Anolis sagrei: one gene and its partners. The protein of the gene in region 4 interacts with the protein of the main gene of each other region in a biochemical or structural test. Links are inferred from orthologs where the notes say so. Each region holds a gene or a part of one and is shown on either strand. Other genes may lie near its edges.

What was found.
Region 1: the proteins of HRAS (region 4) and RASSF1 form a complex in vitro, tested with the Homo sapiens proteins (2 studies listed by BioGRID and IntAct, with this or other methods). The link is inferred for Anolis sagrei from reciprocal best matches to the Homo sapiens genes HRAS and RASSF1.
Region 2: the proteins of HRAS (region 4) and RALGDS form a complex in vitro, tested with the Homo sapiens proteins (4 studies listed by BioGRID and IntAct, with this or other methods). The link is inferred for Anolis sagrei from reciprocal best matches to the Homo sapiens genes HRAS and RALGDS.
Region 3: the proteins of HRAS (region 4) and RASSF5 form a complex in vitro, tested with the Homo sapiens proteins (2 studies listed by BioGRID and IntAct, with this or other methods). The link is inferred for Anolis sagrei from reciprocal best matches to the Homo sapiens genes HRAS and RASSF5.

Annotation. Positions count from the first base shown.
Region 1 is NC_090022.1:72,797,039-72,804,285, reverse strand, and holds the start of RASSF1 (ras association domain-containing protein 1), read right to left. Parts: upstream 3,028-7,247; 5' UTR 2,923-3,027; coding exon 2,622-2,922; intron 1-2,621. UniProt on the Homo sapiens protein: Potential tumor suppressor. Required for death receptor-dependent apoptosis. Mediates activation of STK3/MST2 and STK4/MST1 during Fas-induced apoptosis by preventing their dephosphorylation.
Region 2 is NC_090031.1:18,839,369-18,846,212, forward strand, and holds the start of RALGDS (ral guanine nucleotide dissociation stimulator), read right to left. Parts: upstream 3,005-6,844; 5' UTR 2,789-3,004; coding exon 2,681-2,788; intron 1-2,680. UniProt on the Homo sapiens protein: Functions as a guanine nucleotide exchange factor (GEF) activating either RalA or RalB GTPases and plays an important role in intracellular transport. Interacts and acts as an effector molecule for R-Ras, H-Ras, K-Ras, and Rap.
Region 3 is NC_090024.1:195,606,954-195,614,921, reverse strand, and holds the start of RASSF5 (ras association domain-containing protein 5), read right to left. Parts: upstream 3,033-7,968; 5' UTR 2,888-3,032; coding exon 2,263-2,887; intron 1-2,262. UniProt on the Homo sapiens protein: Potential tumor suppressor. Seems to be involved in lymphocyte adhesion by linking RAP1A activation upon T-cell receptor or chemokine stimulation to integrin activation.
Region 4 is NC_090021.1:240,068,667-240,076,062, forward strand, and holds the start of HRAS (GTPase HRas), read right to left. Parts: upstream 3,030-7,396; 5' UTR 2,548-3,029; intron 160-2,547; exon of another isoform or gene 139-159; intron 1-138. UniProt on the Homo sapiens protein: Involved in the activation of Ras protein signal transduction. Ras proteins bind GDP/GTP and possess intrinsic GTPase activity.

The DNA of each region.
Region 1 (7,247 bases), on a different chromosome or scaffold from region 4:
TGCTGTCGTTGTTGTTGTTGACTTTATATCAGACACCTTCAGGCAAGCTGGAGGTTTGCTTTATTTTAATGAGACATTAATCTCTCTACTCCTTCAGCCAGTCCCCTACTACCTTTTTTAAAAATATGCCAGTGAGGGCCTTAATCTAACCTGCATGTGGTGGCTTTCATCTCTCTAAGAATCCTGTTCACATTCTTGGATTGCACAAATTGAAAAGTACTGATTGCTACTGGACAAACACGGGCCAAAGTTTCATCCACTGAATCTATATTAATACAGCATCCAAGTCAAAGCAGATATGAATGACTAGATCTGCAAAGAGCCAAGCAAATTGTTGAGTGGTTTGGGTTTTCCTTTTTTGGGCATGTGTGGAAAAGACCCCTGACCGCTTCAAAGAGCAGATAGTAATAATAGTGACAACAACATTGTATTTTCTAAATATATTCATCCAAAGTACAATTGACCTTTCCATTCGTATAGCCTTTCATGTGCTATATTCCATACAGAAAAAGTCAGTTGTCAAATAAGTCTATATGCCTAAAATGTATTTTTAAATGTATATTTTTAGGCTTTTTTGGGGTTTAAAGTTGCAATCCTGTGCATACGCCTTTAAAAGAAAGCCTTACTAACATTAGTTGAACTTCATGGTTTGTAGACATGCTTTGAATTGTGCTACCAGAAGGCACAGACTTTGGAAACTTTGGTAGGGACATTTCAGCCAAAGTCAGTGATGTTCTCCAGGAACAAGATTGGGCAGAAGCTGAGGATACTGCTGAGCAGAATGAGCAGGACAGCTTCCAAATGTACCAGGGCTGCTGTGACATATTTTGGACTAATACACAGGTTGCCATAGGGACTCTGAAGAACCTTACATTCAGAGTCACTAAATAAATCATTGTACTACCTGTCAAAATGTATTCTCACCAAAATTGCAAAAAATACCAGAAAGTTTATGGGTGACGCAGAGCAGGAAGTACTCATTCTATTTGGGGTTGACTGTGGTGGGGTGGCCAAGGTCATGGGCCAATTCTGAACACTCTGTTTCATTTTAGCTCTAGCAGTGGTTCTCAGCCTGTGGATCCCCAGGTGTTTTGGTCTACAATTCCCAGAAATCCGAGCAAGTTTATCAAGTGTTAGGATTTCTGGGAGTTGAAGGCCAAAACATCTGGGGACCCACAAGTTGAGAACCACTGCGAATCTAATCACTTTTCCTCCTAGAGTTGAAAATTCTACAAAATTTGCAAGCAACGCTTTCATGCAAACTTTGATCCAATACATAATGTCCTTTAAAAACAACTCCAACTATCATTTCTCTCTCTGTGCTTTAGCTTTGTTGCTAGGAGTTGAAATAAGAGAATGCACAAAAAAGTATAGACTTACTACAAAAGAGACAAAACTCCTGAGTGTATGAAAACTATCAAATATTAGAAGAATTAGGGACGGCACACACTTCTAGTACAGGATTTATGGACATTCTTTTTTTAAAAATCAAGTACTCAATTTCTTCCTAATATTCAGTCTGGATTGCTTACAAAAATAAAACAGCTTGTATGACCAATTGTGCATCAAGTACAATTTCTATCTTTTCATACTGCTGCAAGGCAGACACACACATTTCTTCCACTAGTGAGGAAAACATGAAAGGGGTGGTTCCTGCTGAGCTTCTGCCTTAAGAGCCTCATCACACTTGAGCATCGATCCACTTCGATCTACTTTAAAAGTTGTGACTGTCTCCTGCAGAATGCTGCGGTGTGTAGTTTAGGGAGGCCTATGGCTTTTCTGGATGAGCAGTTTAAAGGCTCCTACCTAAACTACAAGTCCCAGAATTCTGTACAAAGGGGCTGCGGTGGCTCAGTGGGTTAAACCTCTAAGCTGCAGAACTTACTGACCAGAAGGTCTGCAGTTCGAATCCGCCAAATGGGATGAGCTCCCATTGTTAGCCCCAGCTTCAGCCAACCTAGCAGTTTGAATACATACAAATGTGAGTAGATTAATAGGTACCGCTTCTGCGGGAAGTTAACCGGGCTCCTTGTAGTCATGCCACCCACATGACCTTGGAGGCGTCTACGGACAATGTTGACTTTTACACTTAGAAATGGAGATGAGCACCACAACCCAGAGGTAGACTTAATGTCAAGGGAAACCTTGACCTTAAAGTGGATACATGCTCGAGTGTGATGAGGTTGTAATAGGTGTATTTGTATGTGCCTTCCAGTGGGGTTGCTTGTCAACTTAAGGTGACCCCATGAATTTCATAGGATTCTTAGGCAAGGAATATTCAGAGGTGGTTCTGCTAGTTCTTGATTCAGAAATACAGTCAACAGCAGCTGGCACTGGTTGGCAGTCTCCCATCCAAGCACTAACCAAGGATGACCCTGCTTAGATGCCAAGATCAGATAGGATCTGGTGCCAGCTGCCTGGCCTCTAATATCTCCACATGTGAGAAATTGAAAAACAGAGCCAAAACAAAAGTTTGGGGGATGCTTTTGGGTATTTAGGCCTCGTGGGCCAACTTCGGTAACAGCCGGTAGGCTGTTAGGAATGGCGGGAGTTGTCGTCCAAAACACCCGGAGGGCCGAAGTTGGCCCCTGGCTGAGGGTGGGAGAGGCGCGGGTACTCACGGAGGCACTGGAGGGTCTTCTTGGAGGCGCCCCAGATGAACTCCCCGCAGAGGTCGCACCAGGTGGGCTGGCTCTGGGCGCAGGGCCGGAAGCGGTGCCCCTCGCCCAGCTCCTCGGTCAGGCGGGGGTCGCGCTGCCCGCCGCGGAGGCGGATGAGGCGGACGCGGCTGAGGATCTCGGGCACCTTCCCCTTGGGCGAGATCCGCAGCGCGTTGGCCCGCTCCAGGCGGACGGCGGGGCGAGGCTCCGTCAGGTCCAGGGCCCGCTCCGGCCGCAGCGCCCGCAGCTCGATCATCTCCATGGGCCCCTCCTCGCACACAGGCCGGGGCGCATCCCCACGCTCCCAGGCAGAGGCAGCAGCCTTCCCCCTCCCACTCACTTTCCGCCCGACTTCTTCAACTTCTCTCTCTCTCTCTCTCCCCTCCCCGCCTTTCCCCTCTCCTCCTCCTCCTCCTCCCCCCTTTCGAGGCTGCCAGGAAGAAAACTCACTGGCGGTCTTTGTTGGGAAAATGAGAGCCTCTCTTGAAAGCGGGGTCGCTTCCCTGGCTCTAATTATTGTCTACACCAGCCCGTCTGAACTGAGTGCGGAATGCAACTCGCAAGCAGCAAACTCTCAAAAGCGCGCCAAGGAGGGAGGGAGGGAGGGAGGGAGGGAAGAAGGGAAGGAAGGAAGGAAGGAAGGAAGGAAGGAAGGAGGGAAGGGGGAGGGAGGAAAGGAGGAAGGAGGGGAAAAAGGAAGGAGAGGGAAGGAAGGGGAAAAGGAGGGAAGGAAGGAGAAAAGGAGGGAGGGAAGGAAAGAAGGGAGGAGGAAAAAGGAAGGAGGGGGGGAGGGAAGGAAAGAAAGAGGGAGGGAAAGGGAGGGAGAGAAGGAAGGAAGGAGGGGATGGAAGGGGAGGAAGGAAAGAAGGAAGGAAGAAAAGAAGGAGAGAGGGAAGGAGGGAGAGAAGGAAGGGAAAAAGGGAGGAAAGGAGAAAGGAGGGAAATAAGTCTCTTAACCCTCCTGAGTTGCACTATGTCACACGATTTTTGTTCCTGGCTTATAAATGGTTGTTTCCTAATTGGTTCTATCATTAAAAATACATGGAAAAACGTTTATCAAAGTGCACAAAAACTTTGTTTCTGTGGGACATCCTGCAGCACATTTGCTATGGTTTTTTTTCAATGACTATCTGATAGAGCAGGCCTGGGCAAACTTGGGTCCTCCAGGTGTTTTGGACTTCAACTCCCATCGAGTTGGTGTTAGTTTCCCGGGCTGTATGGCCATGTTCCAGAAGCATTCTCTCCTTACGTTTCGCCCACACCTATGGCAGCATATTTGAGAACACAGAAATGCTGGACCACTCTAACAACCACCGTGCCAGACTACACAAAGAAACCATTGAAATCCACAAGGATTCGTTTGGTGGGGCATCCGCTTGTACGACTGCAACCTCCCATGGTTCCAAAGCATTGAGTTCAATGGGTGTCGAACTGTGTGAATCCTACAGTGGAGATTCACCCAAAGGCAGGGAAGCCGGAGAGAGAGTCTTCGGTCACAGTGAACTCCCAACGTCACTCGTTGGTTTCCGACACGAAGAGTCCCCAACTCTGCCTTCGTGTTTCCCTTTCACGAGTGGAAACTATGCGGGTGGGAGGCAGGATGTGGAAGAGACAGCGCAGAGGGGGACGTGCCGCTTCTCCCGCCTCGAAAGGCAAGGGACGACGCCCCAGTTCTCAAGATGGGGAGTTGTAGTTTGACAAGATTTTAACCCTTCTCTGCCCAAGAGGGCCCCCGTATCACGAAACGACAACCTCCCACGACTCCCTAGCAGTGAGCCAGGACAGTCTGATGTGCTATCCAACTGCATGAATGCAAGTTTCTGGAATGATGCGGCCAAGGGAAGCGGCGGGGTGGCTGCTCCATCTTTAAAGGAGGAGTTGGGAGGGAGACCCAAAAGGGCGGGAACCAAAACAGCGAGGGAAGGGGGGGGGGAGGCGTCTTGGCCGGCTCCTTCCGCAGCTGCGTCTCTATAGCGATGCTTTTGGTTGCTTTGCTGCCGGTCGTTTCTCGGAAGCAGGCAACCGCAAGGCTCCTTCAAGAGGCCTTCGTGTCGCGTGGGAAGAGAAGAAACGGGCCCGAAAGAGGAGCGGGGCCAGGTCGGGGGTGTGTGTGCATCTACACACCTTAGAATTAAGGCGGTTTGACACCCCTGGACTGGACTGAACTGAACTGAACTGAACTGGAGCCCTCGGTGGCACAGTGGGTTAAAGCCTTGTGCCGGTAGGACTGAAGACCGACAGGTCGGAGGTTCGAATCCGGGGAGAGCGCGGATGAGCTCCCTCTGTCAGCTCCAGCTCCTCGTGTGGGGGCATGAGAGAAGCATCCCACAAGGGTGGTAAAACATCAAAACATCCCGGCATCCCCTGGGCAACGGTCAATTCTCTCACACCAGAAGCAACTTGCAGTTTCTCAAGCCATTCCTCATAGGAAAAAAAAGCCTGTAGGAACATTTCTTTCTATCAACATTTATCACACCAAGCATAATGTCATGCCTCTTCTGATTCCTAATCCATCTAAAATGCAGGCGTGTGGTTTTCACCTTAAGAACAGACAAGTGCTGAGGATTACTTGGGAAGAAATCCCACTGGAGCATTGCAGCACACCCAAATACCTGGGAGGCACTCCCGTCTGTGCTCCAACTTATAAGAAGCACTGCCTGAATACCAAGCAAAAAGTGGGTGCTGGAAATAATATCGTACAAAAGCTGACTGGCATAACCTGGGGATCACAACCAGACACAGTGAAGACATCTGCCCTTGTGCTTTGTTACTCTGCTGCTGAATACATATGTCCAGTGTGGAACACATCTCACCGCACTAAAACAGTGGATGTGGCTCTTAATGAGACATGCCACAGTATCACAGGATGTCTACGCCCTTCGCCACTGGAGAAACTATACTGTTTAGCCAGTATTACACCACCTGATCCGTCAGGAAGTAGCAGCCAGTAATGAAAGGACCAAGGCATTGACATCTCCAGCCCATCCTCTGTTCAGATATCAGCCAGCAAGCCAATTCTTTCAATCAAGAAACAGCTTCCTAAGATCTACAGAGATACTCGCAGGGACACCTCAGCAAGCGAGAGTCCCAAAGTAGCAGGCTAAAACCTGGTACCTCAATCAGTGGGCGAGACTGATGAGAAACTCACTCCTGGGCACACTGAAGACTGAGTAACTTGGAAGGTGATGAACAGACTGTGCTCTGGCACCACGAGATGCAGAGCCAACCTTAAGAAATGGGGCCACAAAGTGGAGTCCATGACATGCAAGTGTGAAGAAGAGCAGACCACTTACTACAATGCAGTCTGAGCACTGCCACATGCAGAAAGAAAGGCCTTCTCACAGCCAAACCAGAGGCATTCGAAGTGGCCAGCTTCTGGTCATAGGAAATTTTGTATAAATTTTATAGTATAAAGTTCACCCTGGCCAAGTTTTTCACTTTGTGTTTTTTTTAATGCATTATAACTGTATTTTCAATCAACTTCTGACACGATAAATAAATAAATCTCTCTTTACCTTCTCCCCTCATCCTCTCACTTAAACTGCTCCAAATATCATACTCTTTCCTCTTAGAGGAGTTACTCTACTCCTTTGATCATTGTACAGCTGTATAAATTTTGAGAGGCACTTTTTGTAACCAGAACTGTTATTCCAAGTGTCCTCATACCATAGATCTGTGTGAGTGTAGTATTTATTGGCAGTTTTATTTTGTATTCCTTTTCTGACAGTGCTTTCAGTCCAATTTACCATTTTAAAAAAATATCCAGGGTAGGATCTCTCATTTTTGCAAGTACTGTGTAACTCAGAAGACGCGTACTTTTTGGGAGGAGAGCAATGTCCAATCTCGACAAAATTGTAAAGAGTAGAGACATCACTCTGGCAACAAAGATCCGCCTAGTCAAAGCCATGGTATTCCCTGTAGTCACCTACGGATGTGAGAGCTGGACCTTAGGGAAGGCTGAGTGAAGGAAGATAGATGCTTTTGAGCTGTGGTGTTGGAGGAAAGTTCTGAGAGTGCCCTGGACTGCGAGAAGATCCAGCCAGTCCATCCTCCAGGAAATAAAGCTCGGCTGCTCATTGAAGGGAAGGATACTAGAAACGAAGTTGAAGTACTTTGGCCACATCATGAGGAGACAGCAAAGCCTAGAGAAGACAATTATGCTGGGGAAGGTGGAAGGTAAAAGGAAGAGGGGCCGACCAAGGGCAAGATGGATGGATGGCATCCTTGAAGTGACTGGACTGACCTTGAAGGAGCTGGGGGTGGTGACGGCCGACAGGGAGCTCTGGCGTGGACTGGTCCATGAGGTCATGGAGACGACTGAATGAATGAACAACAACAACTGTGTAACTGGAAAAATCATACCTAAAATGCTTTGTGTAGAGATACAGAATTACAGTGCATATTTCAGTATGCAAAAATAAAATGGTAACAATAACAAAAATCAATCTATTTATTACCAGCCAATAAAACACATTTCTCACAATTACAGATTCATCATTTAAGTCAGGAGATTTGATAAGCTATTATTGTGTTCTTTCATGGAAGATCTTGCACAATGTCCAGCAAATTAGTGTCAACCATTTGAAA
Region 2 (6,844 bases), on a different chromosome or scaffold from region 4:
AAGTTTGGGGAAAATAGGTCTTGACATTTGGGAGTTGTAGTTGATGGATTTATAGTTCACCTACAATCAAAGAACATTATGAACCCCACCAATGATGAAATTGAACCAAACTTGGCACACAGGATTCCCATGACCAAGAGAAAATACTGAGAGGATTCAGTGGGCATTGACCTTGAGTTTTGGAGTTGTAGTTCACCTACATCCAGAGAGCACTGTGGGCTCAAACAATGATGGATCTGGACCAACTCTGCTGGACTGAAGGCCATGTTGTCCGAATACCCAAAGATCACTGTCTCCCAAAGGAGTTACTCTACTCCAAACTCCAGAACAGGAAATATAATGTTAGTGGACAGGGAAAGATGTTCAAAGATGGGCTCAAAGCCAATCTCAAAAACTGTGACATAGACACCAAGAGAGAACTGGGAAGCTCTGGCTCTTGAGCGCTCTGTGACCAGCAGTGCTGAAGAATTCGAAGAGGCACGAATGGAGGGCGAAAGGGAAAAATGTGCCAAGAGGAAGGCACGTCAAGCCAACCCCAACTGGGACCACCTTCTGTCTGGAAACCGACGTCCTCACTGCGGGCTCCACAGCCACCTACAGACCCACCGCCAAGACACCACATCTGGAAGACCATCATCCTCGAGCTACAAGGGATCGCCTAAGTAAGTAAGCAAGCAGCCTGGCCATCAATCTCTGAACCAGTTGGAGTTTCAGAACTATCTTCAAAGGCATAGACAGCATTGCAGCAGTCCAAGCAGGATGTGACTAAGGCATGGACTCCCATGGCCAGGTCTGGCGTATCGAGGGACAAGCTGGTGCACAAGCTGTGCAAAGGCACTCCTGGTTCAGCAATGAGCTCAGCAATGAGTCCAGGGTCAGGACCAGGCTGCAGACCTATGTCTTCAGGGGGAGTGGGTCCCCATCCAACACCTTGATCCACCTTCCGACTGACCAGGAGGACCTCTGTCTTGCCTGGATTTACGAGGTTGAATGAAAAGTAATGCCTCCACCTTTGTAACTCCTAGATGTCACCCCCAAAGGAGATTCATCAGAGGATTCAAGCTGTTTATGGGGATTGTGTTGACGTGAGTACTGTTTGTCTTTGGGCGAGTAAGTTTAAAGATGTTGAGGTGACACCTTCTGCTGTCAATAATTCAATGACTGCATGTTGCTTAAGTTGCATTGACTGACCGTCTGCGCAGGGTTCCATACTTCGCAATTTAACAACACAACCGTTCAATGCTAAGGCTTCCTGCCAAAATGGAACTGTAGAGGAGAGTCTACTGAACAAGCCAGTACCTGCCGCATACCAGTACTGCCATCTGTTGAGGAGTTACAAAGGTGGAGGCATTACTTTGCATTCAACCCTCGAACCTTCAACTGATTAGCCCTCCCCCAGCCCATCCCAGCCTTGCATATGACAGATATGGCTGTGTCCTCCAAGATAATAATAATAATAATAATAATAATAATAATAATAATAATTGTAGAAGAATGGCTGTGTCCACCGAGATCATCATCATCATAGTAATAATAATAGTAGTAGTAGTAGTAGTAATAATAGTAGAAGAGCAACTGTGTCCACTGAGATCATCATCCTCATCACCATCATAGTAATAATAATAGTAATAATAATAGTAGAAGAGCAGCTGTGTCCACTGAGATCATCATCCTCATCACCATCATAGTAATAATAATAGTAATAGTAATAATAATAGTAGAAGATCAGCTGTGTCCACTGAGATCATCATTATATCATCATCATCATCATCATCATCATAGTAATAATAATAATAATAATAATAATAGAAGAGCAGCTATGTCCACTGAGATCATCATCATCACCATCATCATAGCAATAATAATAATAATAATAATAATAGTAGTAGTAGTAGTAGTAATAGTAGAAGAGGAGCTGTGTCTACTGAGACCATCATCCTCATCACCATCATACTAATAATGATAGTAATAGTAATAATAATAGTAGAATAGCAGCTGTGTCCACTGAGATCATCATATCCCCCATCATCATCATCATCATCATCATCATCATATCATCATCATCATAGTAATAATAGAAGAGCAGCTATGTCCACTGAGATCATCATCATCATCATCATCATCATCATCATAGTAATAATAATAGTAGTAGTAGTAGTAGTAGTAGAAGAAGAGGAGCTGTGTCCACTGAGACCATCATCCTCATCACCATCATACTAATAATAATAGTAATAGTAATAATAGTAGAAGAGCAGCTGTGTAAACTGAGATCATCATCATCATATCATCATCATAGTAATAATAGTAATAATAGAAGTGCAGCTATGTCCACTGAGATCATCATCATCATCATAGTAATAATAATAATAACAGTAATAATAATAGTAGAAGAACAGCTGTGTCTACCAAGATCATCAAATAATAACAATAATAACAATAATAATAATAATAGAAGAAGAAGAGCAGCTGTGTCCACTGAGATCATAGTAATCCCCACAGTAATAATAATAGTAATAATACTCGAAGGCCGGAGCACCTGTGAGCCAAGGCAACAGCCACAGCGGAGACCCTTGAGTGTGGGAACAGGTGAAATAGGTGGGTGGGGGCACGGAGGGGTGAGCGTGCGCGTGCCTGTGTGTGTGGGGATCCCCCCCCCCTTTTTGCCACAAATCCTACTTACATAGTATTCCTCCTGGCTGTGCTGGAGGCTGAGGGGAATGTCCAGCATGCACATCTGGAAGGGCTGCACCAGCGCCTTCTGCATGCAGAACAAAGGCTTGGGCTCCATCTCTGCCTGCTGCTCCTGCTGCGGTGGCGGCGGCTTCCCCCTTTCCCCTGCTCCAACGGGGCTTCAACCAAGAACAGGGAGGCAGGGGGCCCCCTGCTGCTGCTGGGCATGGTCTCCCAAGGAGGCTCTCCCGCTTGCTGCCAGGATGCGCATGCAGCAGCAGCAGAAGCAGAGCCAACCGCAACCGCACACCCCCCTTGGGCTGCAGGAAAGGGGTCGAGGGGAGGGGCAGCTGGGAGGGAGGGAGGAAAGGCAGCCCACCCCTCACCCCTCAGCAGACCACCCTGCCCTTCTTTGCACAGGCTCTCCTCTCCTGGCAATGGGTGGGAAGAGGAAGGGGTCTCCTTGCAGAGAGAGAAAGTGGGGTGCAAACACACACACACACAATAATAATAATAATAATAATAATATCCCCCAATAAACAGAATAATGCCCCCAAATAAACAAAATAATAATAATGCCCGATAATAATAATAGTAATAATAATGATGATTATGATGGTGATGATGCTAGAATAAAAATATAATAATAATAATAATAATAATAATAATAATAATAATAATAATAATACCAGAATAAAAAATATAATCATAGAATCATAGAATCAAAGAGTTGGAAGACCTCATGGGCCATCCAGTCCAACCCCCTGCCAAGAAGCAGGAATATTGCATTCAAATCACCCCTGACAAATGGCCATCCAGCCTCTGCTTAAAAGCTTCCAAAGAAGGAGGCTCCACCACACTCCGGGGCAGAGAGTTCCACTGCTGAACGGCTCTCACAGTCAGGAAATTCTTCCTAATGTTCAGATGGAATCTCCTCTCTTGTAGTTTGAAGCCATTGTTCCATATTATAATAATAATAATATGAAATCCAGCATATATATCTGATTTGCTGTGACATACTGTGTTTTTGTGTCAGTCAAATAATAATAATAATAATAATAATAATAATAATGTCCCCCAATAAACAGAATAATGATAATGCGCCCAAATAAACAAAATAATAGTAATAATAATGCCCCCATAATAATGATGATGATGATGATGATAATAAAAACAATAATAATGGTGCTAGAGTGAAAATATAATAATAATATAATTCCAGAATAAAAATATTATAATAATAATATGAAATCCGGCATATATGTCTGATTTGCTGTGACATACTGTGTTTTTATGTCAGTCAAATAATAATAATAATAATAATAATAATAATGTCCCCCAATAAACAGAATAATGATAATGCGCCCAAATAAACAAAATAATAGTAATAATAATGCTCCCATAATAATGATGATGATGATAAAAACAATAATAATGGTGCTAGAGTAAAAATATTTATTTATTTATTTATTTACTTATATACCGCTGTTCTCAGCCCGGGGGCGACTCACAGCGGTGTACAACAGAGGAACAACAACATTCAAGACACAGTATAAAAACAATTCACAATCCAGCATTATACAAAAACCATTCAGTGTCGTCTCATCGTCCAAACCACAATCCAATATCGTTTTCCATTGTTCCGTTCCTATAGTCATTACCAATCATAATATAAAATATAATAATAATATAATTCCAGAATAAAATATATAATAATAATAACAAAAACAAAAAAACCCATAGTTGGATCATGAATGTTGCAATCCCAGGTGAAAGCAGGATTGAAGAGAAACAACTGGAAAAGCTGACACGATATGAGGATTGAAATACTGAACTGCAAAGACTCTGGCACAAGTCAGTCAAGGGGGTCCCAGTGGGGATCGGCACACTGGGCGCAGTGCCTCAAGATCTTGGCCTGGACACAATCGGCGCTGACAAAATCCCCTCACAATCTCTGAGGATGCCTGCCATAGATGCAGGTGAAACGTCAGGAGAGAATGCTTCTGGAACATGACCAGACGGCCCAAAAAAATTACAGTAACCCAATAAGAATAACAATAACATTACATAAATAAATAAATAAATAAATAAATGTAGCTCCAGCAACACACACACACATATATGATCAAGAATCCCGGAAGAACCCTTTCCCCGCTGAGAAGGATTACTCTTTCTGGAGTGGATCTCCCTTGCTTCCAAGGGGTGGATTCCTCCTCTTTCCTGTTTTCTCACTGGTCTTAACTAAGAGTCATTTGAAACTCGGGGAGGGACAGCCTGTATCAGGATGCCACTACAACCGGAGGAAGAGGCCGTGGGTACCCAACTCCCATCTCCATGGAGACAGACGGATGTGTGGTTGCTGTGCCAACGGGGGAACGCACCACGGGGCAGAATCGGGGGCCCGCTGCGGCAGGAAAGGGCTTGCACGGCCCCTGAGGATGGCAAGAGCACATCAACACGAAGGAAGGAAAACACCTTCCCGCTGGTGGCCTGCAGGTCTCCGCTGGAGCTTCGCCTCAGCCCTTGCGTCAACAACAAGCCAATCTTGGCACATTCTCACAGGGATGGGAAGCCAGGAGGAACCTTCTGAACAGAGGCACAGGGGAGCTCACCTACCTCTATGCCATCCAAAGCTAATGATATAGATTTGGCTGGAGTGCCACTTCATAAAGGAACCGGTTCAGACTTAACATACCTCTCTTGTTTGTAACTTGGGGCCTGTATATCAAAGAGGGGGAATTTCACACAAACACACACATATATAGATAGCATATGGAAGGGTATGTATATTTGGCTGGAGTGTGTGTGTGTGTGTGTGAGGAGTGACTTGGGAAGTTGCTTCTGGTGTGAGACGTTGCCCAGGGGACGTTGTCTGGATGCTTGATGTTTTTTGCCATCCTTGTGGGAGGCTTCTCTCATGTCCCCGCATGGGGAGCTGGAGCTGATAGAGGGAGCTCCTCTGCCCTCCCCATTCGAATCTCCAACCTGTCGGTCAGCAATCCTGCCGGCAGGAGAGTTTAATCCACTGCGCCACCCGCAGCTCCATTAATACTCAAGACTGTTACACAGCAAACAAGATCACTCTGCTGGCTGTTGTATAGGATCACATGTTGGACACTTCCCAAGTGTGTAGGACTGTGTGATGTATTGGCAAATAATGTGTGCAGATCCCAGTAGGGTGGCCTTTTGCAGCGGACAGATGGTGATTTGGTCACTGCCTATTGTTTTTAAGTGTAGGCCAAGGTCTTGAGGCACTGCACCCAGTGTGCCGATCTGCACTGGGACCCCCTTGACTGGCTTGTGCCAGAGTCTTTGCAGTTCGATCTTTAAATCCTCGTCTCGTGCCACCTTTTCCAGTTGCTTATCAAACCTGCTGTTTGTTTGTTTATTTATTTATTATTATATTATGTTGATTATCTTAATTTCTGTCCTGCCTTTCTCCACATAGGGACTCAAGAAGGCTAATAAGGCCGAGCAGCAGGGCGAGGGCGTCAAGTAGCAGGGCTCCAGAACAACCCCACACAGACGCCGGTTTTAGTTATCAAAGAAATGAGAAATGCGGCTTTTTTATCCGAAGCAAATCCGACAAATAAAACAAAAAAGAGGAAAATTCCAGCAATAATAAGAAATAAACAAACAGGAAGCGATTGGAATGGAAGAAGACCATACGTGCTTGCTTTTTGCTGTTGACCAGATTGAAAACTCAAACTCTCTGCATTGTCTCAATGTACGCAGCATGGGATTATTATTGTTATTATTGTTATTATTATTATTATTATTATTATTATTATTCGTATCTCCGGCCACAGCCGCTCCCTTTGGTGGAGCCACCGCAACATGTTTTTTAATGGATACACAAGAAAAACTCAAAGGCCTGTTTTTTCTCAAGACACACCTTTCAAGGTTTTTAAATTGTTTCATATCTACATATATAAAAATGCTCTGTGCATTATGAGTATCTTAAAAACGAAAGAACCAATGAACGAAATCACACCAAATTTGGGAACAAAACGTCTCACAATACAAGGAGTGACCATCGCTCAAAAAATTATGACTTTGTCATTTGCGAGTTGTAGTTTATTTATTTATTTATTTACTTTATTTGTATACCGCTCTTCTCAGCCCTTAGGCGACTCAGAGCGGTTTACAACAGTTTAGATATATACTATAGTTG
Region 3 (7,968 bases), on a different chromosome or scaffold from region 4:
TGGCCGAAAGCGAGGAGGAGCTGAGGAGCCTTCTAATCAAGGTGAAAGAAGAAAGCGCAAAAGCCGGGTTGCAGCTAAACGTCAAAAAAACCAAGATTATGGCAACAAGAATGATTGACAACTGGAAAATAGAGGGAGAAACCGTGGAGGCCGTGACAGACTTTGTATTTCTAGGTGCAAAGATTACTGCAGATGCAGACTGTAGCCAGGAAATCAGAAGACGCTTACTTCTTGGGAGGAGAGCAATGTCCAGTCTCGATAAAATAGTGAAGAGTAGAGACATCAGACTGGCAACAAAGATCCGCCTAGTCAAAGCCATGGTATTCCCTGTAGTAACCTACGGATGTGAGAGCTGGACCTTAGGGAAGGCTGAGCGAAGGAAGATCGATGCTTTTGAGCTGTGGTGTTGGAGGAAAGTGCTGAGAGTGCCTTGGACTGCGAGAAGATCCAACCAGTCCATCCTCCAGGAAATAAAGCCCGACTGCTCACTGGAGGGAAAGATACTAGAGACAAAGTTGAAGTACTTTGGCCACATCATGAGGAGACAGGAAAGCCTAGAGAAGACAATTATGCTGGGGAAAGTGGAAGGCAAAAGGAAGAGGGGCCGACCAAGGGCAAGATGGATGGATGGCATCCTTGAAGTGACTGGACTGACCTTGAGGGAGCTGGGGGTGGTAACGGCCGACAGGGAGCTCTGGCGTAGGCTGGTCCATGAGGTCACGAAGAGTCGGAGACGACTGAACGAATGAACAACAACAATCTGAAGGACCATGTCTTGGGCTGCTTCATAAGAGGTGCATAAGGCAGGCATGGGCAAACTTCAGCCCTCCAGATGTTTTGGACTTCAACTCCCATCATTCCTAACAGCCTCAGGCCCTTTCCTTTCCCCCTTCAGCTGCTTACGCTTTTCTTACCTGTTTTCTATCAGGGTGTCTAGCTTTTAAAAGGAATGAGTGGCACATGGAGGAAGGCTTCCAGACACTGGTGGTCTCTCAATGTGTCTGCTCTGCTAGGTGAGGCTCATGTGGTGAACATGTTGCTAAACTTTACCCCCCAAGTACGGAAGAATCAAGAAGCACCCCCTTAAAATGCTCCTCTGTGCCTTAGGAGTCTATAGGTTTGGGCTGCTGCACAAGAGGTGCTTCATAAGAGGTGCAGCTAAGGAATGCATGGGAAAACTTCAGCCCTCCAGATGTTTTGGACTTCCACCATTCCTAACAGCGTCAGGCCCTTTCCTTTTCCCCCTTAAGCAGCTGAGGCTTAAGGGGGAGGCTGTTAGGCTGTTAGGAATGGTGAGAGTTGAAGTCCAAAACATCTGGAGGAGGGCCCAAGCTCGCCCAGGCCTGATCTAAGGAATAGTACAGTGTTTCTCAACCTGGGGGTTGGGACCCCTGTGGAGGTCACCAAAGACCAACAGAAAACAGTAGTTTCTGTTGGTCACAGGGGTTCTGTGTGGTAAACTTGGCTCAATTCTATTATTGGTGGTATTCAGAATGCCCTTTGATTGTAGGTGAACTATAAATCCCAGTAACTACAACTCCCAAATGTCAAGGTCTATTTCCCCCAAACTCCACCAGTGTTCACTTCACATTTGGGCATATTGAGTATTTGTGCCAAGTTTGGTCCAGATCCATCATTGTTTGAGTCCACAGTGCTCTCTGGGTGTAGATGAACTACAACTCCAAAACTCAAGGTCAATTGCCTGCCAAATCCTTCCAGTATTTTCTGTTGGTCATGGGAGTTCTGTGTGCCAAGTTTGGTCCAATTCCATCGTTGGTGGAGTTCAGAATGCTCTTTGATTGAAGATTAACTATAAACCCCAGCAACTACAACTCCCAAATGACAAAATCAATCCCAACCTCATCGGTATTCAAATTTGGGCGAGTATTTGTACCAAATTAGGCCCTATGAAAGAAAATACATCCTGCATATCAGATATTTACATGAAGATTCATAACAGTAGCAAAATTATACAGTTACGAAGTAGCAACAAAAATAATGTTATGGTTGGGGGTCACCACAACATAAGGATCTGTATTAAGGGGTTAATGCATTAGGAGGGTTGAGAAACACTGGAATAGTAGATATGAAGCAAGGAGGGAAGTGGGGTGGGCAGTTCAGGTGTGGATGTGTGTGGGGAGCCCCTTAGGTTGTGTCCAATGGGCCTGGGCACCCAAACTTTCCAGGAAGGGCCGGTCCTTGCATTGCACGGGGTTGCCCCTTTCCCGCCCGCCCCCCGGCTCCCCTGTTTGGCGCACTTACTGGCGCAGCGGAGGCCCCGCTGGTGGACCTCCCTCCCGCACAGGTCGCACCACCCGCGCCAGACGAGGGCGAAGCCTTGGAAGCGGTGCCCTTCGCCCTTCTCGGGCCGGACGCGCGGGTCCCGGGGCTGCTCGAAGATGGTGCGCACGTCGGGGAGCAGCCGTGGAGCCCCGCATTTCAGCCGGAGCCGCTGGTGGTGGTGGTGGTGGTGCGGGTGAGAGGGGAGCGAGGCGGGCTTGGCGGGCGAGGGCTCCTCGGGAGGCTCGAGGATGAGGCGCAGGTTGGCGCCCCGCGGCGGCTCCGCATTGCGCCCCTGTCCTCCCTCCTCCTCCTCCTGGTCCTGCTCCTCCTGCTGCTGCTGCTCCTCCTGGGCGCCTTCCTCTCCTTCGTCCTCCTCTTCCTCGCCCCCCTCCATGGCCCCCCCGGCCTGCCTCTTCTTCCTCCTCCTCTGCTGCTGCTGCTGCTGTGGATGCAGGAGGTCGCTATTGCCGGCGGGCAGGGAGCGCTTGCGGAGCTTCTTCCTCTCCGAGGCGCTGAGGCTCTGCAGGAAGCGCTGCTGCTCCTTGTCCAGAAGCAGCGGCGGATACGGGGGGAACTGCCCCACGGCCGGAGAAGCCATGGCCATGGCCCCAGAGGAGCAGAGAGAGACGGAGAGGGAGAGAGAGGGAGGCCGCCCGCCCGCCCGCCCTTCCTTGCTTCTTTCCTTCCTCCGAGTCTGCGAGAGAGCGACCTGGCCGGCAGCGCAGGCGCTCTTAAAGGGACCTGCAAAAGAGGAGGAGGAGGAGGAGCCAGGCCCCGCGGCCTCGCCGGGCCCCTGTCTGCGGGGCTAATGCGCCTTGACACCACTCCTGCCTCTCTAGGGAGCCCCTCCCGGGAGCTGTCCTTCCACCAGGTCTTTCTCCATCCTTCTCCGCACTACAACTCCCGACTCCTCTTTAGCTCACCAAAAATACAACAAAGTTTGGGGAGAAAGGCATTCTGCACATGCTCAGAGGCTTATTACGCATCGTGCAGCAGCAATAGCTTGGTTAATGTGCAAGGATTAAAGGTATGACTATCTTTAACCAGGAATGGGGGAGTCCCCGGTGGTGCAATGGGTTAAACCAGTAGTTCTCAACCTACCTAATACCCTGACCCCTTAATACAGTTCCTTATGTTGTAGTGACCCCCCACCAGAACATTATTTTTGTTGCTACTTCATAACTGCAATGTTGCTGCTGTTATGAATGTAAATATCTGATATGCAGGATCAGGCATGTAGCCCGGGGGGGGGGGGCTTGATGGGCTTCAGCCCCCCCCCCCCCCGAAATTCTCAGGGTGGTCCATGAGAAGGCCTTACTGGTACATTATTTAAACTGTTGTGTTTATTCATATCATGATCTGATCACCATGATCAATATATCCCATAGGCATGGGGGTATTGGGATAATGATACCAAAGGTTTGCTAGGGTAGATCCTCTGCCCCCCTCCCCAAAATCAACCTCAGCACCCCCAATCAAACTCAGCCCCCACCCGCAAATCAAAATCCTGGCTACGAGCCTGTGCAGGATGGATTTTCATTGACTGGTCCAAATTTGGCACAAATGCCCAATATGCCCAAATTTGAATACTGGTGGGTTTGGGGGAGATTGATGTCATCATTTGGGAGTTGTGGTTGCTGGGATTTATAGTTCGTCTACAATCAAAGAGCATTCTGAACTCAACCAACGATGGAATTGAACCAGACTCGGCACACAGAACTCCCATGACCAACAGAAAATGTTAGAAGGGCTTGGTGGGCACTGACTTTGAGTTTGGGAGTTGGAGTTCACCTAGATATAGACAGCACTGTGGACTCAAACAATGATTGATCTAGACCAAACTTGGCACAAACACTCAATATGTCCAAATATGAACACTGGTGGAGTTTGGGGAAAACAGACCTTGACATCTAGGGGTTGTAGTTGCTGGGATTTATAGTTCACCTATAATCAAAGGGTGTTCTGAACCCCACCAATGATAGAATTGGGCCAAACTTCCCACACAGAACCCCCATTGCCAACAGAAAATATTGTATATTCTGAAGGTCTTCAGCGATTTTCTGCCTCAATAATCTGAGTTATATGATTGTGAGTCCTTCCACACAGCCTAATATCCCAGAATATCAAGGCAGGAAATCCCACATTATCTGAGTGTGGACTCAGATACCCCAATTCAAAGCAAATATTGTAGGATTTTCTGCCTTGATATTCTGGGATATAGGGCTGTATGAAAGGGCCCTCAGTGGAAGAGCCCTGAGAGTACAGTATTGTGTTGTCATTGTGTTGTCAAAGGCTTATTCATCATTGGTTTTTAACTTTTTCTATTTCACATTGTTTCTTTGCTCTAGTTCAAATACTGACATTTTATTGCCTTACTTTATGTTTTCCTTATTCTATATTGTGTTTTTTCATTGCTGGCCATTGACCAAGATAATATACCCAAGGTTTTTTTTTCTTTTTTAGTCCTGGAGGAAGGGAAGGTTTCCAGGGCTTTTTGATGGATTGGTAAAAACTAATAATAAATAGGAGCCTATGTTTGAGCATTGGAGTACGACTACAACTTCTATAATTCTATAGTAGTGAATTGTGGTAGCTACAGGGGTGTCAAACTGCATGCATTAATTCTCTTGTGTAGATGCACCCCTAGGTCAAAAAAGACCTCAAGGCAAACAATAACATAATAATAACAATAACAACAACAACAATAATAATAATAATAACAAGTTGTGCCGCAAATACCATCTGCCTGCAACAAAGAACTGGTGGGATCACAAGCCGGAAAAAATTACAGAAAATGAACACATCAAACTCCTCTGGGACTTCTGAATTCAGACAGACAGAGTTTTGGAGCACCTCACTCCTGACCTCATGATCATGTTAAAAAACAAAGTATGGATTGTCAATGTTGCAAACCCAGGTGACAGCAGGATTGAAGAGAAACAACTGGAAAAGCTGACACAATATGAGGATTTAAAGCTCAAACTGCAAAGACTCTGGCACAAACCAGTCAAGGTGGTCCCAATGATGATTGGCACACTGGATGCAGTGCCTAAAGACCTTGGCCTGCACTTAAACACAATCAGCGCTGACAATATTACCATTTGCCAGCTGCAGAAGGCCACCATACTGGGATCTGCATGCATTATTCGCTGATAAATCACACAGTCCTAGACACTTGGGAAGTGTCCGATGCATGATCTAATACAACAGCCAGCAGAGTGTCTGCTGTGGACTCATCTTGTTGTGTTAATAATAATAATAATAATAATAATAATAATTATTATTATTATTATTATTATCCCACCACCATCTCCCCAAAGGGGACTTGGAGTGGCTAACATGAGGCCAAGCCCAACAATTACAACAGATCAAAATAAAATACATGCTGCAAATAATAAACATGAAATAAAATGTAGACAAAACAAGGTAATACAAAGTCAAACACAGGTAATGAAATAAAATAATAGAAATGTGCACAGCAGTCTGGGCCAAATTACAAGGGATAGAATTGAAAAAACATAAAAAGTATGTGAATGATAATAACAGAAGAGAGTCATAGAATTGGAGTTGAAAAGGACCTCTGAAGGTCAATTATTCCAACGTCCTTCCAGTGTAAGTATTTTTCTGCATCTGTAAAAGACATTTTCTCATCCAGAAAAAAATAATAAAAGCCTCCTGGAGCAGTGCAGGAATTGTATTATGTGCCCATCCCTTTCTTCTACAATAAATGAAATGCTCCCTCTTTCCTTCACAAAGGTAGATGGGCTCTCATTAAACCAGATTCAAGGACTTTAGAGGAGGCTTCATCAGCTGGATAAAGAGACAGAAAGCCTCACGAAAATACACCAAGCCGTCTTGGCTTTGTACATCTTTGGCACTAGGGGCAGAAAACCCATTAAGCTGTGTACAGACAGGCATAGTGAGGTTAGATCTCTCAGGAGTTTCATGCCCTGGGAGAAAAGGCTCCATTCTTTGCAGCATGTTCTATGTGCAGTAAGTTTCCACCAAGGTCTGGTTTCTTTTCATGTTTTCCATTATCTTCTCTCATAGTACAAAGACAACCCAGTGGCTTAATGGTAATTTTTGAAATGCAGGTGCTCCTTATGACCTAATAGTGCAGGCAGTTATATCTATGCATAACAACAAACTATTTCGATCAATCTCCCACCACCAGAAATGGTCTTTTTGTAAGGTTAATGAATATCATTTGCACACTAAGATTATCCCCATGTTTTGCATTATAGCAGAAGATACAGTGGGCTTTTGATATTTGCTGGGAATTGGTACTAGGACCTTCCATGGTTACCAAAATCCATGGAAACGCAAGTCTTGTTATATACAATGGCATAGTAAATGGTGTCCCTTACATGAAAGTTTGTTTAAAAAAAAATCAAGCTGTCAGTGGCTAAATCTATGAGTACCAAGAGCCAATTGTCTTTCAATGAAAAGAGCATCCTTGACTTTCTGCTGCCCTGGAGACTAGGATGCGGAACAATGGCTTCAAACTACAGGAAAGGAGATACCACCTGAACATTAGGAAAAACTTCCTGTGAGAACTGTTCAGCAGTGGAACTCTCTGCCTCAGAGTGTAGTGGAAGCTCCTTCTTTGGAGACTTTCAAACAGAGGTTGAATACCACCTGTCAGGTGTGCTTTGAATTCGATTTTCCTGTTTCTTGGCAGGGGGTTGACTGGATGGCCCATGAGGTCTCTTCCAACTCTATAATTCAGACAAAATGACTAAAAGACTAACCACATTGGAGAATTGCAGCTGTCTGATACCACTTTACCTTCCATGGGTCGATCCAATAGAATCCTGGAATTTGCAGCTTTTTGTGGCACTAAAGCTCTCTGACAGAAAAAGGTAAACATCTCACAAAACTACACAAAAATTCCATAGCATTGAGTCATGGCAGTTAACATGATGTAAAACTGCTATAATTATGTAGTGTGGATATAGCCTAAGTCAGTAAAGCCTATACACCACTTCCTTGGGATCTATGGAGCCAATTAGAAATAAACACTGTAAATATAAACAGCAAAGGTGTAAACAATTTGCAGAATTAAATCAAACTTGTAATTAAACAGCAGCAATATTGCTTATTTTATACTGAACCTGGCACATACAGTGTTCCAATGCTTTGCACAGTCCACAAAGTACAAGTGCAGAATTCTTATTCCTGCTAAACAGAATTCCTCTTCTCTTCTGTTCTCTGTTTCACATTCACTCCTTTAAGATCCCTCTAGGGATGCAGCTATACTGTTGAATTAATGCTGTTTGACACCACGTTAACTGCAATGGTGCAATGCTAGGGAATCCTGGGATTTACAGTTTGGTGATGCATTAACCATTCTGGCACAGAAAGCTAAAGATCTGTAAAACTACAGCTACTAGGACTGAGCCATGGCAGTTAAGGTGGTGTCAAACTGCATTCATTCTGCAGTGTAGATACACTTTAGGGCAGAGGTTTCTGGGCCTAGACCAGGCATGGGCAAACTTCAGCCCTCCAGGTGTTTTGGACTTCAACTCCCATAATCCGTAACAGCCTACCAGCTGTTAGGAATTGTGGGAATTGGGTTCCAAAACTCCTGGAGGGCCAAAGTTTGCCCATGCCTGGCCTAGACTCTCTTCTCTGGTTTTCAGCATTGTTTTGAAATGTGAAACAGTTCACGTGTACCTGAATTCT
Region 4 (7,396 bases):
CTCCTCTCCTCTTGCTCTTTCCCCCACCCCATGTTTTCTGGGCTGACAGGAAGTGTTTACAGAAGGTAAAGTCAGTAAAACTGAAGAGGAGAGAGAGAGGGAGGCAAAAAAAGCAGATTGTTTTGCCTCCTCACTTACCTGCCCCCAAGGCTCAGAGGCACAGCAAACGCTGTTGGAAAACCCTCTCCTGGGAGCCTAATTCCTTCTGCAGACAGGAAAGGCAGCCCTTAAGGAACATGCAAAAGGCTGACACGCAAAACAAGCACCCACTGCCCCCTGGTCACATCATCTGAACACATGCCTCACTCTCTCACACAACCCCTCCCCACTCTAGGATAGGTTTCTGCACAGGATCTATTCAGCATGTGCAGCCACTGTTAGGATCTCCTTAAAAGAAGGTGTCCAGAAAAGGATGACCAAAATGAGGAAGGCTGATGGAGCCTGGTCTGTTTAGCTTAGAGAAAAGAAGGCAGACAGGGGACAGTAAAAGGTAACCGTTTCCCCTGACATGAAGTCTAGTCATGTCCAACTCTGGGGGTTGGTGCTCATCTCCATTTGTAAGCCGAAGCTTTGTCCGTAGACACCTCCAAGGTCTTGTGGTTGGCATGACTGCATGGAGCACTGTTACTTTCCAGCCGGAGCAGTACCTATTGATCTACTTGCATTTGCAGTTTTCGAACTACTAGGTTGACAGAAGCTGGGGCTAACAGCGGGATCTCACCCCGCTCGCTGGATTCGAACCACAGAGCTTTCAGTCAGCAAGTTCAGCAGCTCAGCAGTTTAACCCGCTGCACCACCAGGGGACTGCAGCCTAGTGTAAATACCTGAAGACTCTCTTTCTGCAGCTCTGGAGTCTGGGACATAATGGAGCAATGGGTTCAAACCGCAGGAATACAGAGAGATTCCACCTAAACACAAGGAAGAACTTCCTGACAGGAAGAGCGGTTAGAGAGTGGAATGTGCTGCTGCCTTGCAAGCTGGTGGAGTCTCCTTCTCTTGAGAGCTTTAAGCCGAGGCTGGATCGAAATCTGTCGGGGTGTCTTGATCACTTTATAATATAATATCTTTATTCTTATATCCTACCTCCATCTCCCCGAAGGGACCACTTACATGGGGACCAAGCCCAATATAAACAAAGGTTAGGAATAACACTATTAAACACATATAACAGTAAAATATATTTAAACAGCTATTTTTTTCATGTCAGGGGCGACTTGAGAAACTGCAAATCACTTCTGGTGTGAGAGAATTGGCCTTGTGCAAGGATGTTGCCCAGGGGATGCCGAGATGTTTGGATGTTTTACCATCCTTGTGGGAGGCTTCTCTCATGTCCCCGCATGGGGAGCTAGAGCTGACAAAAGGAGCTCAATCCACTCTCCGATACTGAACCGCTGAGCTGTCAGTCAACAGTCCTGCCAGCACATGGCTTTAACCCATTGCGTCACTGAGGGCTCAACTAACGCAATCAAAAACATAGAAGAGTAAAATATGTTAAAACAGTAAAACCAATGAAATGTAAAACATCATAAAACATAGACCAGACATCAAATAACCAGTAGTTGGGGGGGAAAAGGTGGGCCTGTGCAGATTTGAGACTAATAGGGCACGACAAGGGCTGGTGCAAATGCAACACTGTAGGGCTGGGAATAAAGTGCTGGAGAGCCAATCAAAAGATTAGGCTTTCATGGCTGGAATCACTGGATTGTTGTAGATTTTTCGGGCTATATGGCCATGTTCTAGAAGCATTCTCTCCTGACGTTTCACCTGCATCTATGGCAAGCATCCTCAGAGGTTGTGAGGATGCTTGCCATAGATGTAGGTGAAACGTCAGGAGAGAATGCTTCTAGAACATGGCCATATAGCCCCAAAAACCTACAATGACCCAAAAGATTAGGGCTAGGCAGATTTAACAGTGTGTTTCTGCATGGCAGAGGGTTGGACTGGATGGCCCTTGGGGTCTCTGCTAAGTCTAGGATTCCTTTTGCAACCGAAGGACTGACAACAAAGGGGAGGAGCCTGAGCACCTCGGCGCCCGGAGACCAGCGGCGACTCCCTTCAACCCCCCCCCCCCGACGACCAGACCCACCCCGCGCCCCCACGGAGGGAGGGGGAGAGAGGGAAGGGGGGGAGGAGCGCGCGCTCCCCTCGAGGGCTCCGTCTCCAAAAGCGCGCCCCTCTTTCTTTCCCTCCAAAAGAGCCACACAGCCGCACTGGGGAGGCGCTGCGGCAGCCCCGCCCGGGAAGAGAGGAGAGGAGACCGAAGGAGCCTTTGCCTTTGGAAGGGGGAAAGGGGTGGGGGGCGGAGGGCCAGCAAGGCACAATCCCAGCCAAGGGAGAGAGGGAAGGAAAGGAAGGAAGGAAGGAAGGAGGAAGAGTCGGCCGCCTTTGCCTACTCGCCCTCATGAATGACTTTACAAGCCGAAAGGCGCGCGTGGAAGGGGGAAGAGGGAAAGGGGGTTTTCTCCCACGCTATCCCCAGTCTCTTTCGCTCTCTCTCCACCCCTTCAAAGATCCCCCACAAACTGAAAGGAGAAAGGTGCCCCTCACCTTCTACTCGCCGCCGTCTTTTCCCACGAGGCTCTTTCCCTCCCACTTTTCCGGGAGGGCTCTCAAAAGGGAGCAAAGTTCGCGCGTGGGGAAGGGCGGGGCAGGGCTAGAGACCCCAGGCGCCTCTTTTGGCAAGCCTTCAGTTCTCCGTGGGTCCCTCCAGGCAGGGGCGGGCTTCCCACGGAGGCGTCGGCGGCGGAGCCCCCTCTTTGCGTCGCCCTCCCCGCATTGGCCCCGAGCCCCGGGCCGCCACGGCTCCGGCGTGGGTGCGACAAGGCCGGGGCACGACGACCAGGAGGAGGAAGGAGAAGAAGAAGAAGGAGAAGGGACCCACGCCCAACGCAGCCCCGGGCGCTCGTCACTCCAGCCTCTCCCGGAGCAGCTGATAGGGCTCAACCCTCGCGCCCCCGACTGCGGGTCCGGCCTCGCGGTGGGCTGGGGAGGCTGTCAATCACGCCCAGAGGGGCGGGGCCAAGCGCGGGAGGGAGAAGGAGAAAGCCAGCGCCGAGGTCTCTCTCTCTCTGTGGGGCTGAAGGAGGGAGGGAGGGAGGGAGGAGGAGAGGAGGAAGCTCGCCCGCCCGCCCGCCTGCTTTGGGTGGGGGAGTCGCCCCTGGTGTATTTTTAGAGCGTGCTGCTTCCTCCAGGGAAATCAAACCACCTCCTCTGCCTTTCAGCGCTGGGCAGGGCCTCCCTCGTCGGTATGAATTCCCCGCCGAGGCAGCACACTCCCATTTCCTTCCTTCTCTATTTAGGGTCGCGCCCGCCTCCTTCTGAAGGTCTCGGGCTGCCTTCGGGCTTGGGGCCGCCATCAGGCCCTTCTTCTGGGTTTGGTTCGGCTACAGCCGCGAAACGAGGGGCCGGGGGGAGGAATGGGGAGGGGAGTAATGAGGAGGGGAGGGGGCGCCACACAAAGGAAGGAGGGGCCGGGTTCTCGCCCCACGAGACCCCCTACTCCCACCGCCCCGATGGAGGACGGAAACGCCCTTCCACACAACAGCCGAGCATCCTTTATTGGTGCCACCATGCCAGGGCTCTGCCAGTATTCAGGCAGAGGTGAATCAAACAAACACCCAGCTTGTTTCTAACAGTTTAATTAAAGCAGCACTTCGTTTCTGGCTGTTTTAATAGTCCAAAATATAAAAAATAAAGATAGCAGGAAGCCACATAATATAAAACAAAACTGGGTAAAAGTATGATAGCTGGGACCGAGTGCAGATAGTGCTACGCTGATTGCGCAATGGTGGTTGTGAATGAGGAACACGTGTGTGGTCAAGAGACTGGGTGGAGTGAGACCAGGTGGAGTGAGATACGCAGGCAGGACAGAGTCTGCAAGTTTGTAGTTGCTTTACCATTCCCGCTCAAATATTGCTTTACTTGCCTTAAGTGCAATGCTTCCCTGTTTGTTGCCCCCCCTTTCTGTTTTCCCTCCCTCCCCTTCTGACCTGAGTTGGGCTCACCGCATTGTGCTATCAGCATTGGCGAAGCAGCGTTGCAGAATCAGCAAAGTGCTACCTGCACTCGGTCCCAGCTATCATACTTTTATCCAAAACAGATAGTAAACACTGCACCGTAGTCAAAGGGTCCAGTCCAGTGGTCAAATGCCGAGAGTTTAGTGAGAGAAGTCAAAAGTCTATACAATAGTCAAAAGCCAATCCAAAAATTCAAGGTTCCAGGGTTCCAAGAGTTCAGGAGACAGGTCAGGACACCAAAAATCCAGAAAACTTAGGAAAAACCAGCAGCATATACTACCAACATAAAACAAATACTTTTCTCCCAAAGATCAGCCCCGAGGTCAGCTCCTTAAAACCAGTAACACCCAACTGCAACCTATCCTTTGCATCCTGCCACTCTTAATTGCGTTTACCTGTAAACTGTTAGTTACAAATTACTCAGCCCTTTAGAACTAAGACTTACATTAACTCTTCCATCACCAACTGTTGGGTCTGCTACCACCAACCACCATGAACTGCAGGACATGATACATGACAATTGGGAACGCCCCAAACTGGCCACAGTTTGGGTGGTACAATGAACAAAAACTTTGTTGCAGGCACACAATTGGGATCCATAGTGCATGACACTACCTTTGGGCCTATGAGTGTGAGAGCTGTGCATAAAACCAATGAATTGCGTCTTTAGACTTACATCACATTTCTAAGATAATTCATTATATTGTCGAAGGCTTTCATGGCTGGAATCACTGGGTTGTCTGTTGGAAACTAGGAAAACAGGGTTTATATATCTGTGGAATGTCCAGGGTGGGAGAAAGAACTCTTGTCTGTTGGAGGTAGGTGTGAATGTTTCCATTGGCCACCCTGATTAGCATTTGATGGCCTAGCAGTTTCATATAAACCCCATTTTCCTAGTTTCCCACAGACCTCAAAACCTCTGAGGATGCCTGCCATAGATGCAGGCAAAATGTCAGGAGATAATGCTTCTGGAACATGTCCATACAGCCCGAAAAACTTACAACAACCCATAATTCATTATGTTGTGTTGCTGTGAGTTTTCCAGGCTGTATGGCCACATTCCAGAAGCATTCTCTCCCGATGTTTTGTCTACATCTATGGCAGACATCCTCAGAGGTTGTGAGATTTGTTGGAAACTAATATACCAATATACCTCACAACCTCTGAGGATGCCTACCATAGATGTGGGCAAAATGTCAGGAGAGAATGTTTCTGAACATGGCCATACAGCCCAGAAAACTCACAGCAACCCAGTGATTCTGGCTATAAAAGCCTTCAACATTATGCAAATCATCATCATCATGGACAATCATAAGTGGCAAAGTAGGGTTGTCTTTCAAGGGTAGTCTTTGCAGTGACTCCTATTCTGGATCCCTAGGAACTTTCAAAACGAGAACACACATTTCCAGATGGAAGGGGGAGCCAACAAGGGATTCACCCTCTATTTGTGCCTCTTCAAAATCTACAGCACTGCTGGTAAGTTACAATGTTAGAGCCCCAGGGCCTTCCCTGTTCTCCATGTTTATTCCGCATTTTTTAAAGTTTTCTTTAAACCCATCTTTAAATCTCTTTTGCTGTTCACCAACATTCCATTTTGAACATGTTATCTTTTTGTGTTTTTCCATTGCCATGTCTAATACTAAAAGGTTTTATGATGTGAAAATATAGAGAAATAATAATAAAATAACTTTTCTAATCTAAAATTAGAATAAAAAGTGTGCATATGTTGTTTTGAAACAAAGGAGATAGAAAAGTTGAGAAATGGAAAATGAAAAGTCCTAACTAGCACTTTCTACCCTGTCTCTGCTGTCCTCTTTATAATGAAAAAACCTATTATTGTTGTCATAAAACTTCATATCTCTGGTAGATTAACTTTGCAGGATCTCTTGGATACCATTGAGGATCCTGTTATTCTTGTCACTGAATTCTCTTATTTTTTTATTTTCTTGTTCTTCCTTTGCACTATTAATTTTCCCTTGGTGCTATAGAAAACCCGATATTTTCATTTTCTTTTCTTCTTTTAAATAGTAAATAAAAGGCTGCCATTCTTCTTCAGATTTAGAAGGATCTGGCAGTTTTATATGCCTAGTCAGTCTGTCCATTTCTAATTGTATAAACTTGATCAATTTGTCAATTTCTACCTGATCCATCATTTTTGTAATCCATAAATCTTGAGAGGGAATTACTTCATGTTTCCGGTAATCACAAATAATGAAAAGCTCACCTCCTCTTGTTTGGTGAATTTAGTCCATTGATATTTAAAGAAAATATATTTAAAGTCCTTGATCTTAAAATAGTAGATGATCATCCAATTATTCATCACGTGGAGTGGCCTGCTACTGTAGTTGAACATCTTCCTTATTAAGGTTGCCTTCTCTTCTTGCCTTCTTGGATGTTTTCTTATTGGAAAGCCCACAATCTATTGGAAATTTCAGTGCACGATAACCTTATTGAAAAGATAAAAATGATGTCACCTCCGTTTGGGAAAATTTGAATCTCTATGAACTTAGAGACCACTTGAAAACCACAAGTCAGGAATGGCGTGACCTTGTTAGAAGTCAAACCTTAAGACAACTGATATTCATAAAGCATTCATGTGATAGCGCCATGGGTAGCTCAAGTGTTAAACTTAGGAACCATGTCTTTAAACGGTTATGGATAAAGACAGGCCACTACAAAAATCTATCTGGTTAGCAGAGGATGTTTGTTTGAAATAGAATTTGCAGTTGCCCAAAAGATATACACTCCCTTAAAACATGCACTCAAGAGAGAAAACAAAGTAGTCTTCTTTGAAAAAAAAATATAACTTGTTTACTAACAAACTTGTATATATTCAGTATACAGGCACATAGTATTTAAAATGTCTTTAGGCATATCTGTACTCACTCAAATCCCTGAGCACACACATCCACCTCCAGTGAAGTCTGAAACCAAACATATCTCATTGAAGTCCAAAAGTAAACATCTACCTCATTGAAGTCCAAAAGCAAACTACAAAATTGAGTCCAGGTCTGAAGCCCCTCCCACAACAAAGAGGAAAGCCAAACTGGAAAATCAACATACACATAGAATGCAGGTTAACAAATATATATTAACAAACAGTTAGTGAAGGATTGTAAGGTTGCTGTTTCCAACATCTCTTTCTCCTTGGCCTTCTTAAGTTTATCTGTCAGAAAAAAGCAATTTATTATTTCTTTATTATCTGCGGTGGAAATTTTCTTAATACTGCAATCCTGGTATTTCTTATTTCAATTGGATCATTGGTGTTAACTTGCAAAACTTGATCTCATGTTTTCTTTCTTGAAAACAACACAATCACAGCTTATTCCTCATTGCATGTTGGGATTGGACTCCAAAGATGCTGTCAATTTGAGCCTCGA